Linked DNA regions of Xenopus tropicalis. The protein of the gene in region 1 purifies or fractionates together with the protein of each later gene. This does not show direct contact. Links are inferred from orthologs where the notes say so. Each region holds a gene or a part of one and is shown in the gene's direction. Other genes may lie near its edges.

The links. The genes of interacting proteins can lie anywhere in the genome.
Region 2: the proteins of ndufs5 (region 1) and ndufaf4 purify together in Homo sapiens (co-immunoprecipitation; 3 studies listed by BioGRID and IntAct, with this or other methods). This does not show direct contact. The link is inferred for Xenopus tropicalis from reciprocal best matches to the Homo sapiens genes NDUFS5 and NDUFAF4.

The regions. Positions count from the first base shown.
Region 1 is NC_030678.2:90,459,935-90,464,943, forward strand, and holds ndufs5 (NADH dehydrogenase [ubiquinone] iron-sulfur protein 5), read left to right. Parts: upstream 1-1,910; 5' UTR 1,911-1,912; coding exon of another isoform or gene 1,913-1,914; coding exon 1,915-2,130; intron 2,131-2,640; coding exon 2,641-2,739; 3' UTR 2,740-2,874; downstream 2,875-5,009. UniProt on the Homo sapiens protein: Accessory subunit of the mitochondrial membrane respiratory chain NADH dehydrogenase (Complex I), that is believed not to be involved in catalysis. Complex I functions in the transfer of electrons from NADH to the respiratory chain.
Region 2 is NC_030681.2:88,490,579-88,497,078, reverse strand, and holds the start of ndufaf4 (NADH dehydrogenase [ubiquinone] 1 alpha subcomplex assembly factor 4), read left to right. Parts: upstream 1-2,661; 5' UTR 2,662-2,669; coding exon 2,670-2,805; intron 2,806-5,637; coding exon 5,638-5,735; intron 5,736-6,500. UniProt on the Homo sapiens protein: Involved in the assembly of mitochondrial NADH:ubiquinone oxidoreductase complex (complex I). May be involved in cell proliferation and survival of hormone-dependent tumor cells. May be a regulator of breast tumor cell invasion.

The DNA.
Region 1 (5,009 bases):
ACAAGGAGCAGAAGCTGCCAATATGTGTTCCCTGCATAGTGACACTACCAGGAGGTGGCAGAATGGTGGATAGCAGTTATAGTAGGGCAAGACAGTGATTGCCCTTTAATTGAAGTAATACTCCTCCACAATTGATTTTTGGCTGAGTAGGGCCATGTTTAGGAAAGTTCTACTTTAAAGTAAAAAAGGTGTTCAGTAATGTCTGTGTTGCCCATTACTTTGTATTATCTAAAGCTGTCATTTCAATGATACAAAAACCTAAATGTAGTGCATAGTCACACCGAAGCAGAACTGCAAAAATCCCATTTAATCCCTGAATTATTTTATTATTTATTGATTTATAAAACTGCACTAGTTTAGAAAATATATCATATTATAAACAAACAGTTATGTTGGCTGTCACATCATTTACAAAACCCCATAAACAATAAAAAAAAATAAACAAAAAAAAAATCAGTGAAACAAGGCTTGGTTATTGTATAATGGCATTCCTGTGACTCCTTGGTGGAGCGGTGTGGACAGTGAAGCACGTTGGTTTGAAAGTATGGTTGTGATTTGCAGCAAGTGATGGAGGTGAATGCTGTATGATTAGTTAAACAGAGTCGCAAGAATACAGGCATCTCAATGTCTTTACATGCATCGCAGTGGATTAATGTTTCCCAGGTCAAGCACAGTCGCATAATGCTCATTTGAGAGATGGAGAGATGCACGCAGCCCTGGTTGATCTGTGCTTTGATAATAGTCTGCAAATGACTGTTGTTGCTGGTAATGTAATAAGTCTACAGGGGCTACAAGCAAACTAAAGGTTGTCCACTAGCAAACTATTAGACTGTCACTACATACTAAGCTTGCAGGTTATGCAGATGCTTTTTCTTTTTAACTGAATTTGCATTCTATTCAACTGCTTATATTAAGTAATATACCCAATAACCAAGCCTTCCTTCACAAATGAATTGTCTCCTACATTATATATTTATATGTACAATACATGTTTCTAATATTTATTTTTGTTGATGGGTTTTTGTAATATACAAGATATTTGTGTGTATGATATTGTGCAGTTTAAATAAATGATTAAAGAGACACTTAGGGGCTGATTTACTAATCCACGAACCGTCCGAATGCGTTTTTTTCGTAATGATCGGTATTTTGCGATTTTTTCGTAAATTGACGCGACTTTTTCGTAGCCATTACGACTGTTTCGCAAAATGTCGCAACTTTTAGATGCATGATGATCTGTTTTTATTAGTGTTGAATGTAACTCTATTGCGTTGCCCAACATGCTGCTGTTGGGGAAAGACAGGGGTTTGTTTATACAGAGGGCTTTTCAGTGGACTTCTGATTTGTTTTGAAAACAGAAAATGAGTGTGCTTGTTATTACCTGTCCATTCTTTTGTTGTGTTATAGTTGGAACATCAGTACTGACTTGCACACCAGTGCTGTATATTCTGCTTTACATCAGTTCATATAGTCAGCATGCAGTTGGACCCTGGGAGTTGACTTTCTCTGGGTAAATTCCAGGATCTTGTTACTGATAGTTGAATTTACAGTACATCAGCTGGCCTTATTGTACCTGCTTCACGGAAAGTTTTGTAAAACATTTTTACCAGCAACTAGAAACTAGAAATTCTTTAGCAACATTTAAGGAACACCAAGAAGAGCTAGCCAGCAACATGAAGAAGCATTTTTTTTTAGCTGACATTTGCTTTCATGAAATTAGTCACAAGTCTTAGTTATGTATGCAAAGGTATAGCCATATATGATATTTCACTAACACTGTAGAGAAGATGCAGTGTGTCTGGCTCTGGAAGGGGAAAGGGTGTAACAACAGGTAAACAAATCTGTTATTCTGGGCAAGAAATAGTTGGTATTCATTACAAATTTGCTAATTCCAGCTGATCTTTCCCTATAGGCATGCCGTTTATTGACGTCCAGAGTAAACTTGGAATCAACATAGATAAATGGATGTTACTGCAGAGCTCACAGCAACCATATCGCTGGGTTTCTTCATGCCAGGCATTTGAGAAAGAGTGGGTGGAATGCTCCCATGGAATTGGACAGATCCGAGCACGAAAGGAATGCAGGTTGGAATATGAAGACTTCTATGAGTGCATGAGCAGAAACAAATTGGTGAGTAGGTGTTTATTATACTGTTTGAGTTGTTGAGCTTGTGTGTCTGTAGTATCCATATCCAGTATGCTGATTAAGGTTAGATGAAAGATAATGTTAATGCTTTCACATAATTGTAGTGTGGAGATTAGCGCTAAGCCAGCAGTGAGGTAAAGCTCACTTTTGGCTCCCATACTTCACTTTCCCAAAAGATGTTAAGAGTGTTTAAGAGCAAAATAATTTTCCTGGGCAGAATTTCTAAGATAATAAATCTTTCACAAGATGTACAAGTTATATGCGCCAAACAAATACATGAAGTCTCCAAAATGTTCAGAATAAAACAGCAGAACTGGATAGTGAAGTATATATTTTTAATAAAAAATAAAATCCCAAATGGGTATACTCCCAAACATAATATGACAGATAGTGTTGTATAAATAATCACTCAGAATCCAAGCAGAAGTTCCAAATTACCCAAGAGTGTCCCTGGCCTTTAAAAAGCCTTCTTACTTTATTTTGTTACTCTTACAGAGACAGAGATTGCAGGCAATCCAAGAACAAAAGAAGAAGCTGGAGAAAGAAGGAAAATATAAGGCACCAGATTTCAGCAAAGATGACAACAGTCCTTAATCCGTAAAAAAGCCATCAATTTTTGTTCATTACAGCACCAACAAGTTACACAGCGCTTTAAAGCAATTACTCACTCTATGTTGTGAATCCCAAAACTTGCATTACATTTTGAAATTATTAAATTGATCCTTACTGGTCCATGTGTTGTTTGAACTATTTCAGCATGTGGATGGGGAATTTTCAGTACTTTCTATCTCACTATTTTCTGTGTTCAATGCAGTTTTGATGCTGTCCCATGGGAAACATGAAATCGGGGTTCTACTGTAATTAATTTTGTATGAAATAGCATTTCTGCCTATAGAGGCCAACTTAAATTTGAGAGACAAAATTAACACTGGTACATTGTGTTTTTTGGTATTAGGCTGAATGCATACTACACAATGTTAATTTTATTCTTAATATGACGAACCAAAAAAACTAAATTTGAATTTCCCTTGCAACATTAAATACAGGTGAACATAGCTGCGTAGTTAGATAGATCTGGTGGGATTATCTATTCATATTTGATCAAAATACCCCATTTTATACTGATTTCTGGCCATGTATGTTCTTCAGCTGTTGATGAACTATCCAGTGTAAGAAATAATGGGACGGATTTAGGGTGTAAAATGAAACCTCCACTAAAGCCATTGGGGAAATCTAATTGAATTAGACAGTATCTAGTAGAATTAAGTCTAAAACAACTGGACTTTTCTGAGTTTTCTTGAGAACGTTTCACCACTTATCCAAGTGGCTTCTTCAGTTCAAACTGAAAAAGCCATTCGGGTGAGTGGTAAAAGAAAAAAGTCAGATGTTAGACTTAATTCCACTAGATACTGTATATCATGACCTGGATGAATCTTCATAGACTAATTGACTTAGGCAGAAAGTTTTTTGAACCAGGCCTGTCCTTTACTATACATTTTGAAGCTGGCTGGGTTATGTGGATGCACAGTATCTATACTAACTTAGAAATACAGAATCTAGTAATAAGGGTAGATTTGTGCATAAGAAGTAGCAGTGTGACATTTCTACAAACTCTATACAGCCCAGAAGGATCATATAGTATTTGGTTGTCCTGGTGGGTGCAGTGGCAGATGTCATGCGTTGAAACTATAGCTTTTTGTGCATCATTGTTAAAAAATCGATTTCACCTCACATCCATTTCAGTTTTTTTGCATACTGGTATTGCTGGGAATCTTTTGTTGAGAACCTTATCAGTGAATTTCTTTTGAAAAGATACAGAACAGCCAATTCTAAATAATTAGGGCATTATACTGTATGTTCTTTTTATTGTTAGTTTTACAAATAGGGCTTGTGTTGAACATACTTTGTACAAGCAATAAATAAGGCCATACAGTCTTATCACAAAAGAATAGCAGTCCTGCTTGTAGGTGGCTTATATAACAGGTTTCAGTTTTGCTTCCTGGGAAACAATAAAATCTAAAATACTAATCTAGGGAATGTGGCCAAAAGTATTCCGACACTACATTTAAAGTTAACATATATAATAATTAAGAATGTACCAGTGAATTATACTCTTTAAGATATAGAAGGATTGTGCTTAAAAAAAAAAGTTGTGTTTTGGACTGATTTATTGAAAAATTCCACCAAAACCCCACTAGTCCCGCCCATCTGTTCCACTTCATGCTGGCTGAATTCTCAGCAGCTAGGCTGACCAGATAGAGAACAGAAGCTTGTCTTTGCTTGTGTGACTGCAGAGCTGTGATTGGCACGCCCACCCTTCATTTGAAACACAGACAGAGAACTGATAGGACCTATAGGATCTATAAGGGGCCATTTTACAGATAGGATTCATTTTTAGCCCAAAGTGAAACCAGCACCATATGTTATTCATAACTGCCTACAAAATTAGTTTTTTTTTCCATTTATCCAACATGTCTTCTTTAAATAGCAAGTTCTCAGTTTTAACCTACCTCTGAAAGCAACATGGGAACAAAAAGTGCAGCACTAACAAGCCTAAAATGACCATGCCCAATAGGGTTTCCTAGCTGGAGTGATGTAATGGTCACAATCTGGGTTTGTGGGATGCCAGGAGAAGTGTACTACAGATCTGGACTGGGATTCAAAACAGGCCCTGGCATTTCAAGTATACAAAAGCCCAAACAGCGGAATGTCTATGGCAATGATCCTCAACCAGTGGCTCCTGAGCTACATGTTGCTTACTACCCCCTCTGATGTTGCTGCCAGTGGCCTTAAAGCAGGTGCCCGTTCTGGTTTCTGGCTGTGTTTTAGAAACACAGATTCAGTGTTACTCCAAGCAGAGCCTC
Region 2 (6,500 bases), on another chromosome or scaffold:
CTGCTGATAACAGTTACGCAGCCTTCTCTTAATATGTGCTGACAGGCCCAGCCTGCCCCATTCATCCTCCCCCCTGCAACGTGAGTTATGCGCTCTCCTCTTACTTTTTTCTGACGGGTCCCAGCTTCCCCATTCATCGTCTTCTCTGTGATGTCATGCCTCCGCCCTCTTCAATGCAACGTCATCACCGGCCCCTCCTATAAATGATGTCATGCCTGTGCCTTCCTCCATCTTTCTTACGGGCTACATAATTATTGCTCTGTTATCCGCCTTGGTCCCATCCCCAAAGCTCTACTACTTCACTTTTCCAACATTACACACGTTTATAAGCACTTTTTTTTTTTCTTATCAGATTACACAATGTTGGTTGTACAATGGGTGAAAATAGAAAATAAGCAGATATATTGCAGTACAATAATGCAAGGCATGGGTAGAAGTCTTTGCAAGCAGAACTAAGTTCTTGCAGTGGATATGTTCAAAATTATCAAAATAGAAGATAGTAACAGTAAGAAATAAGTGAAGGTACACATAGAGAATGCAAAAGCTCAATCTTCATAAGTTCCCAAGGCGCCCAGATTTTGAGAAAGTGGGGAGTGTAATTACATATCCTAGCAATTCCAGCCTCAAATACCTTATTTGCTTCCACCCTTCATTTAATTTCAGCTAAGGTAGGGGGGTCGCAGCACTTTATTCTATATCACTATTCCAGCGTAGATTTTAGCTATTTGGAATTCCTTGTTCCCTGCTTCAAATATATATTTAACTTATCGGGATCCAGGCTTCGATACTACCCGCAGTCAATGGTATCCAGGCTCTTTTCAGCGATAAGTGGCAGCGAGGCTTAAAAGCCTATTATGTAAGTTGTGTGTGTCTTCGGCATAAATGTATTGAAATCAATACCTTTTAATAAAGCAATCCCTATATAACATATAATGCTCATACAGTGCAGCTAGCGAATAGAGCATTTTCTAACAAAAGGAGACAGTATCCCGATTAAAAGCAGACAGATCTCTTTGCTAGCAGCACTGTATGATCATTACACATCGAACAAGCGCTGCTTTAACATATATAGATTTCAATGCGTTTAAAAAGAGCTTGGATAACATTAAGTGCGAGCGGTACTGGAGGCTTTAGCGCAGTGCTGTCCAACTTCTGTTGTACCGAGGGCCGGAATTTTTCCGACCTACGTGGTGGAGGGCCGATAATGGAAGCCAGTTTTGACTACTCCCCTTTTTGAAACCGCACCCACTTGAAACCACACCCATGTTATCACATGACCATACCCATATTAATGGTTGTAGTACAGCAAAAACTTGCCATACTCTGCCTGCCCTACCCTGCCTGTGTGTGCCATACTCTGCCTTCCCTACCCTGCCTGTGTGTGCCATACTCTGCCTTCCCTACCCTGCCTGTGTGCCATACTTGGCTGGTTTGTGCCATACTTGGCCTGTGTGTGCCATACTCTGCCTGCCCTACCCTGCCTGTGTGTGCCATACTCTGCCTTCCCTACCCTGCCTGCATGTGCCATACTTTCACTGTGTTTGCCATTCTTGGCTGGTTTGTGCCATACTTGGCCTGTGTGTGCCATACTCTGCCTTCCCTACCCTGCCTGTGTGTGCCATACTCTGCCTTCCCTACCCTGCCTGTGTGTGCCATACTCTGCCTTCCCTACCCTGCCTGCGTGTGCCATACTCTGCTTGCCCTATGATGCCTGTGTATATGGCACACACAGGCAGCCTACAGTGACACAATGCTGGCATTGCTCCTACAGTCTGCACAATAACTATATATTAAAAAACTTTTTAATTGCAGTACCACCTCAGTATATGTTCTTTTTGTAGTGTGCAGGGATTATTTGTGGGTTTCTACTGCTCCTGAGGTGTGAACAGGGGAACAATGGGGTGATTACAGCCTGAGCCTGAGGTGTGAACACTGCAGGGGGTGAACAATGCAGAGATTAAAAGGTGTGAACAACACAGGGGATTACATATTTAAACAATACAGCCTGATTACAGCCTGAATCTGAGGTGAGAACCATGCAGGGGGCCAGTTAATCACAGTACTGATACCATTTAAAGCTTACACAAGAGTAAGCCATCAAAGCAGCCAGACAGGTGGGGGGCCACACAGAGGGGGGTCGCGGGCCGCCAGTTGGACAGCACTGCTTTAGCGGTTGGATGGTATTTAAGGAAGGGAATCGGGAATAACACATCCTTCCACCTTGCAAGGAAGGGGTGGTGGGTCGCATAAGAAAGCAAGGTGGATGGAGGACAAAGACTGTGCAGCCGTTAGAATGCAGGCAAGCCGGGTAGATGTCACATGGAGGCTGTTCAATGGAGGAACGCCCAGAGATGACTTGGATAAACGGGGAAGCAGGAATCTGTCAGGACAAACTAAGAGCAGATTGCACAACTTAAATGGCAGGCAGCACAGAGGAGTTCCGATGGGGCAGGGGGGGACCTGTCAGCACATAGCAACAGAAGCCCGACAAGGATTTGGATATTGGAGATTTTAAAGGGGAGGAGAGGGCAGGACGCTCGCCCAACCTTGGTACTGGCACCCAGCCCCCTCTGGCTCCTTACGTGCTTCAAGCAGGATATCGGCACGTCAGGCCCCTTGGCTCTCGTCCTTATACAGAGCGCGGCTAGCCGGGCACGCTATGCACAGGCATGGGGCTATCATTAACCCGAGCCATGCGGAACTTTAACCTTGAAAATCGGGCTCATAGGCTTATTGGCAAGGAGAAGCCGAGGCCGGCGCCCACCCACCCCAAAACAGAGGATGCAGTGAGGGCAACCAAAACACGTGAGTATGGGTGGGAGACTTGTACACACAGCGATATTATATTTGCATCCTATGTACCAGTTATGTAGCTTGTGAACTTTTGTTTTTCGTTATACACAGAAAAATACTTTATAAAATACACATAGTACATATTCTTAAATGTTTACTAGAGCGACTGCAGCTAAGATCAGTTCACTCCGTATGACAAGGTTAGCTTGTGTGTGAGAAAGGCATGCTGGGAACAAAAGTTCTGCACTTCTCATTGGTTAGAGGTCATGACCTATGGGTTAGGTCTCTAATGTGGAACCCTGAAGGGTTGTGCTACTGCCTCATTTATTTTTATTAGTAGTATCGCTTTCCTGTGTTACATTTATAGTTGGATAAATACTAGTCATTGCACAAAGAATCCTTGCATTTGTTGCCTGGCATGGCAGATAGATGTTCTAATTCTGCAGTGTACATTTATTAGAACCAAAAAGTTATTCTGGACTCTTAAAAGCAAGTGCAGCCAGGTACCACAGTCTAAATTATTATGAATCAAAGTAGTCTGTGATTCAACCAGTGCATTCCAGCTCAGTAAACTGACAAATTGGTAGAACAACTCTGATCCCTGAAAATACTTTGAAAAACATTTGCTATGCATTTTGGTGCATTCAGTTGTCTGAGCTTCAGCTGTCAGCAATAGTGATATAAAAGGTGCTGTTGTAGGTATTTCATTACTGGTGCTAGTTTTTTTCAGATAGGGCTACGAAGGGTGTCCTTGTTACCATCAGGGTTGCTAGGTCTAATTTTCAAAACCAGCCAAAATCTGTCACAAAGCTGTTTCAAAAGCAGTTTCAAAATAGCACAATTTACCCAGTCAAATAAAAAAAATATTTATATGTGAAAAATATGCCTTCACTTTGGCCTTACAAGTCTGGAATTGCTACCTGTGCCCACCTTTCTGATACTAGGATATCTGATATTGCTATGCCCTTATGTGCAGGGTACATGCAGGTTATTGTAGTTTTACTTCAACATACGCTGCCAGCTTCAGCTTACAATAAGCCATCCAAGTATCCAGGGAATGGAAGAATTTATTAGTAACAGCACTCTTAAATATAAATCACTAATAAAAGAGGTAGGTCATGCATACCCACCAACACGTAATGGGTGTATTAATTGTCCACCCCCCCCATACCATGCTAAGCACTTCATGGCATACAGTGGGCCCCGAAGCATTTCATGAAAGACGCAGTTGTAGCCTTAACTGCATTCCCCAAACCAGCCATACACCCCTCGCTCTCAGTCTCCTGGCAGCAATGCTTTATATAATGTGGGAGAATGTCATTAGAGCCTCAGTTTGCAAAACTCTGAAATCAAAGACATCAACAGACAATCCAGAACTGTGGGCTGGATGATAAAAAATCAGGGATGTTCCACATAAAGCGTTACAGTATGGAGGTAATGCAGCAAAAGTGGATTCACAGTATGGCATTAACCCTCAGACACGATATATGGCTGTGTTTAAGTTTAACTCTCGGCAACCCCAGGAGGTATAATTTTAGTGGTCAACTGCAGAATCAAATGTTAACCCCCCACATCACATTACAAAGTAGCAGCACATACCAGATGCATCAATGAGAAGTTTGTAATGCAGTCAGGTTAGAACTGAAAGGCTAGAACTGCTGCAAAGAGTAGATAAGTTCTTGCTACACCAGTCAGTCCTGTGCTGAGTATTGTAGTTTTGCATTGACCTTGGCAGTAGGTAAAATGTTAAACAAAAACTACATTACCCTACATACACTGGGGGGGATGGGCTAGGTACACTGCCAGGCTTGTACTTTGGAAACCCTCAACAGCTTAAAGGAGAAAGAAAGGTAAAAACTAAGTAAGCTTTATCAGAAAGGTCTATGTAAATACAGCCATAAGCACTCACAGAAATGCTGCGCTGACTTCTCTGTGAAAAGATTTCTGTAATTCATGTGCCAGAGACATGCAGCTTTCTGCTCTCTGCTTTCTCCTGCTCCCCCCTCCCTCAAGAATGCTAAGAACTCACTCACCCCCCATAGGAATGTGGATCTGAGCCAATCAGCAGGAAGCTGACTCATAGTCTAACTAACTGAGCATGTTCACTTGGTCTGGGTGTCTGTGCAGGAGTGAGGCATTATGGGAACTTTCTTTACACAGCTCAGTGTTTTTCCTTCCGGTTTGGCTTCTGATCATCTGAACAGGTGAAATATGGGGAGACTTAAGGGCACTATTGAGACAACTGAATGTATGCCTGCAGCTTGAGATTAACTCTTTATTAGCCTTTCCTTCTCCTTTTAAAAATAATTTGGTAGTTAAACCAGCAACTCTGCTTACCACTGTATCCTGAAGCTACAGTTTATGACAGAAGTATGTAACTTTTATAGTTTGGGTTTTCATTTGGCTAGGAAAGAGCAGTGCTGTGCATAATCCAATTGGTTACAGATTCCGTCAATCTGTTTTAGGTATTGGGTAGTTTTATTAGAGATAAGATACATTTTCAAAAACTATTAAAGAAAATAAATAAAGACCAGTTGAAAGGTTGTTAAGAAGGTTGCAATATGTTTAGTATGTCTATAACATACTAAAAGTTTACCTTTTAAAGGAAACTGACACGCACAGGCACTTTTTAATCGTGCTAGTAGTGTGTTTGTGTATGTGTTTTCTTTACATTGTATACAATTGTATAGCTTGTGAAATATAGCACATAGTTCAGAATGCATGTCTATTGTAAGATTAGCAGTTTATCCTCTTTAAACAATCTAATGTAACAAATGTGATTATTTATTGCTGATTTTCTTGTATAATATTTAGGGTGGATTTTTTTTTTTTCTTTTTAATTAGATCATCCGGACATTGAGGATAAAATTCGTAACAAAGATAATCTGCTTCTGACAAGACTGAAAGAAGTTTATGTTGACTCCTATGACCCATCTTCTGGGGTAAAGTTATTTAAGCCTTTATTTTTCTCTAGCCAACTTTTTTGAATTTTATTTTGTGTATTTCAAAAACAAATGCCCTTCCAATATACACTTCATCCTTCGGCATGTGCATTTATGATGCATTTTTATATCAGCCTTCCACACATTTTGTTGATTGTAATGCTATGCTGTATGATTTTGTATCCCCCAAACCAAGGGTGCTACATGGTTTCTATAGATACTCCCCAATTTGGTATTCTCCCCTTTCTTGGGCTTTTGCATGCAGAGTTGGCACAAGTTTGTAAATAGCCTGCTAAACACTATATTGGGCCCTGTAACTAAGACCACAATTTTTTTTTACAGGAGGACAGGTCTAAAACTTGTGGAGGAAGTTGGCTTCTAGGTAGTCACATCTTAAACAGTAATTTGGTGTAGAGATTTGTCCTGTATAATTATATCCTTTTGTAGAAATGAGGGAATTATAGCTCTTGTCTATAGCCTCTTCACGTTGGTCTTGGTTTAGGTCAGGAATTTGATCAGTCCATTGGTGGTGTGTGTCATTAAAGTGTTTGCTTATACTTTCTTTTATATTTTGTGTAAACTCTAGATATCAGTTTAGCAAATGTGGGGGAGTAAAAGGTCTACTCTAGTCCCAAGGAAGCCAGGGTGGTAATGAAAGAGTAGTAAATTGCACTTTCACTATATCTTCAGTTCAGGCATGCCTTCCATTTGGTTGGCTGTTTTGTAGGTCTTTATAAGTGGGAAAATTGTGCGTTTGGAGTAAGG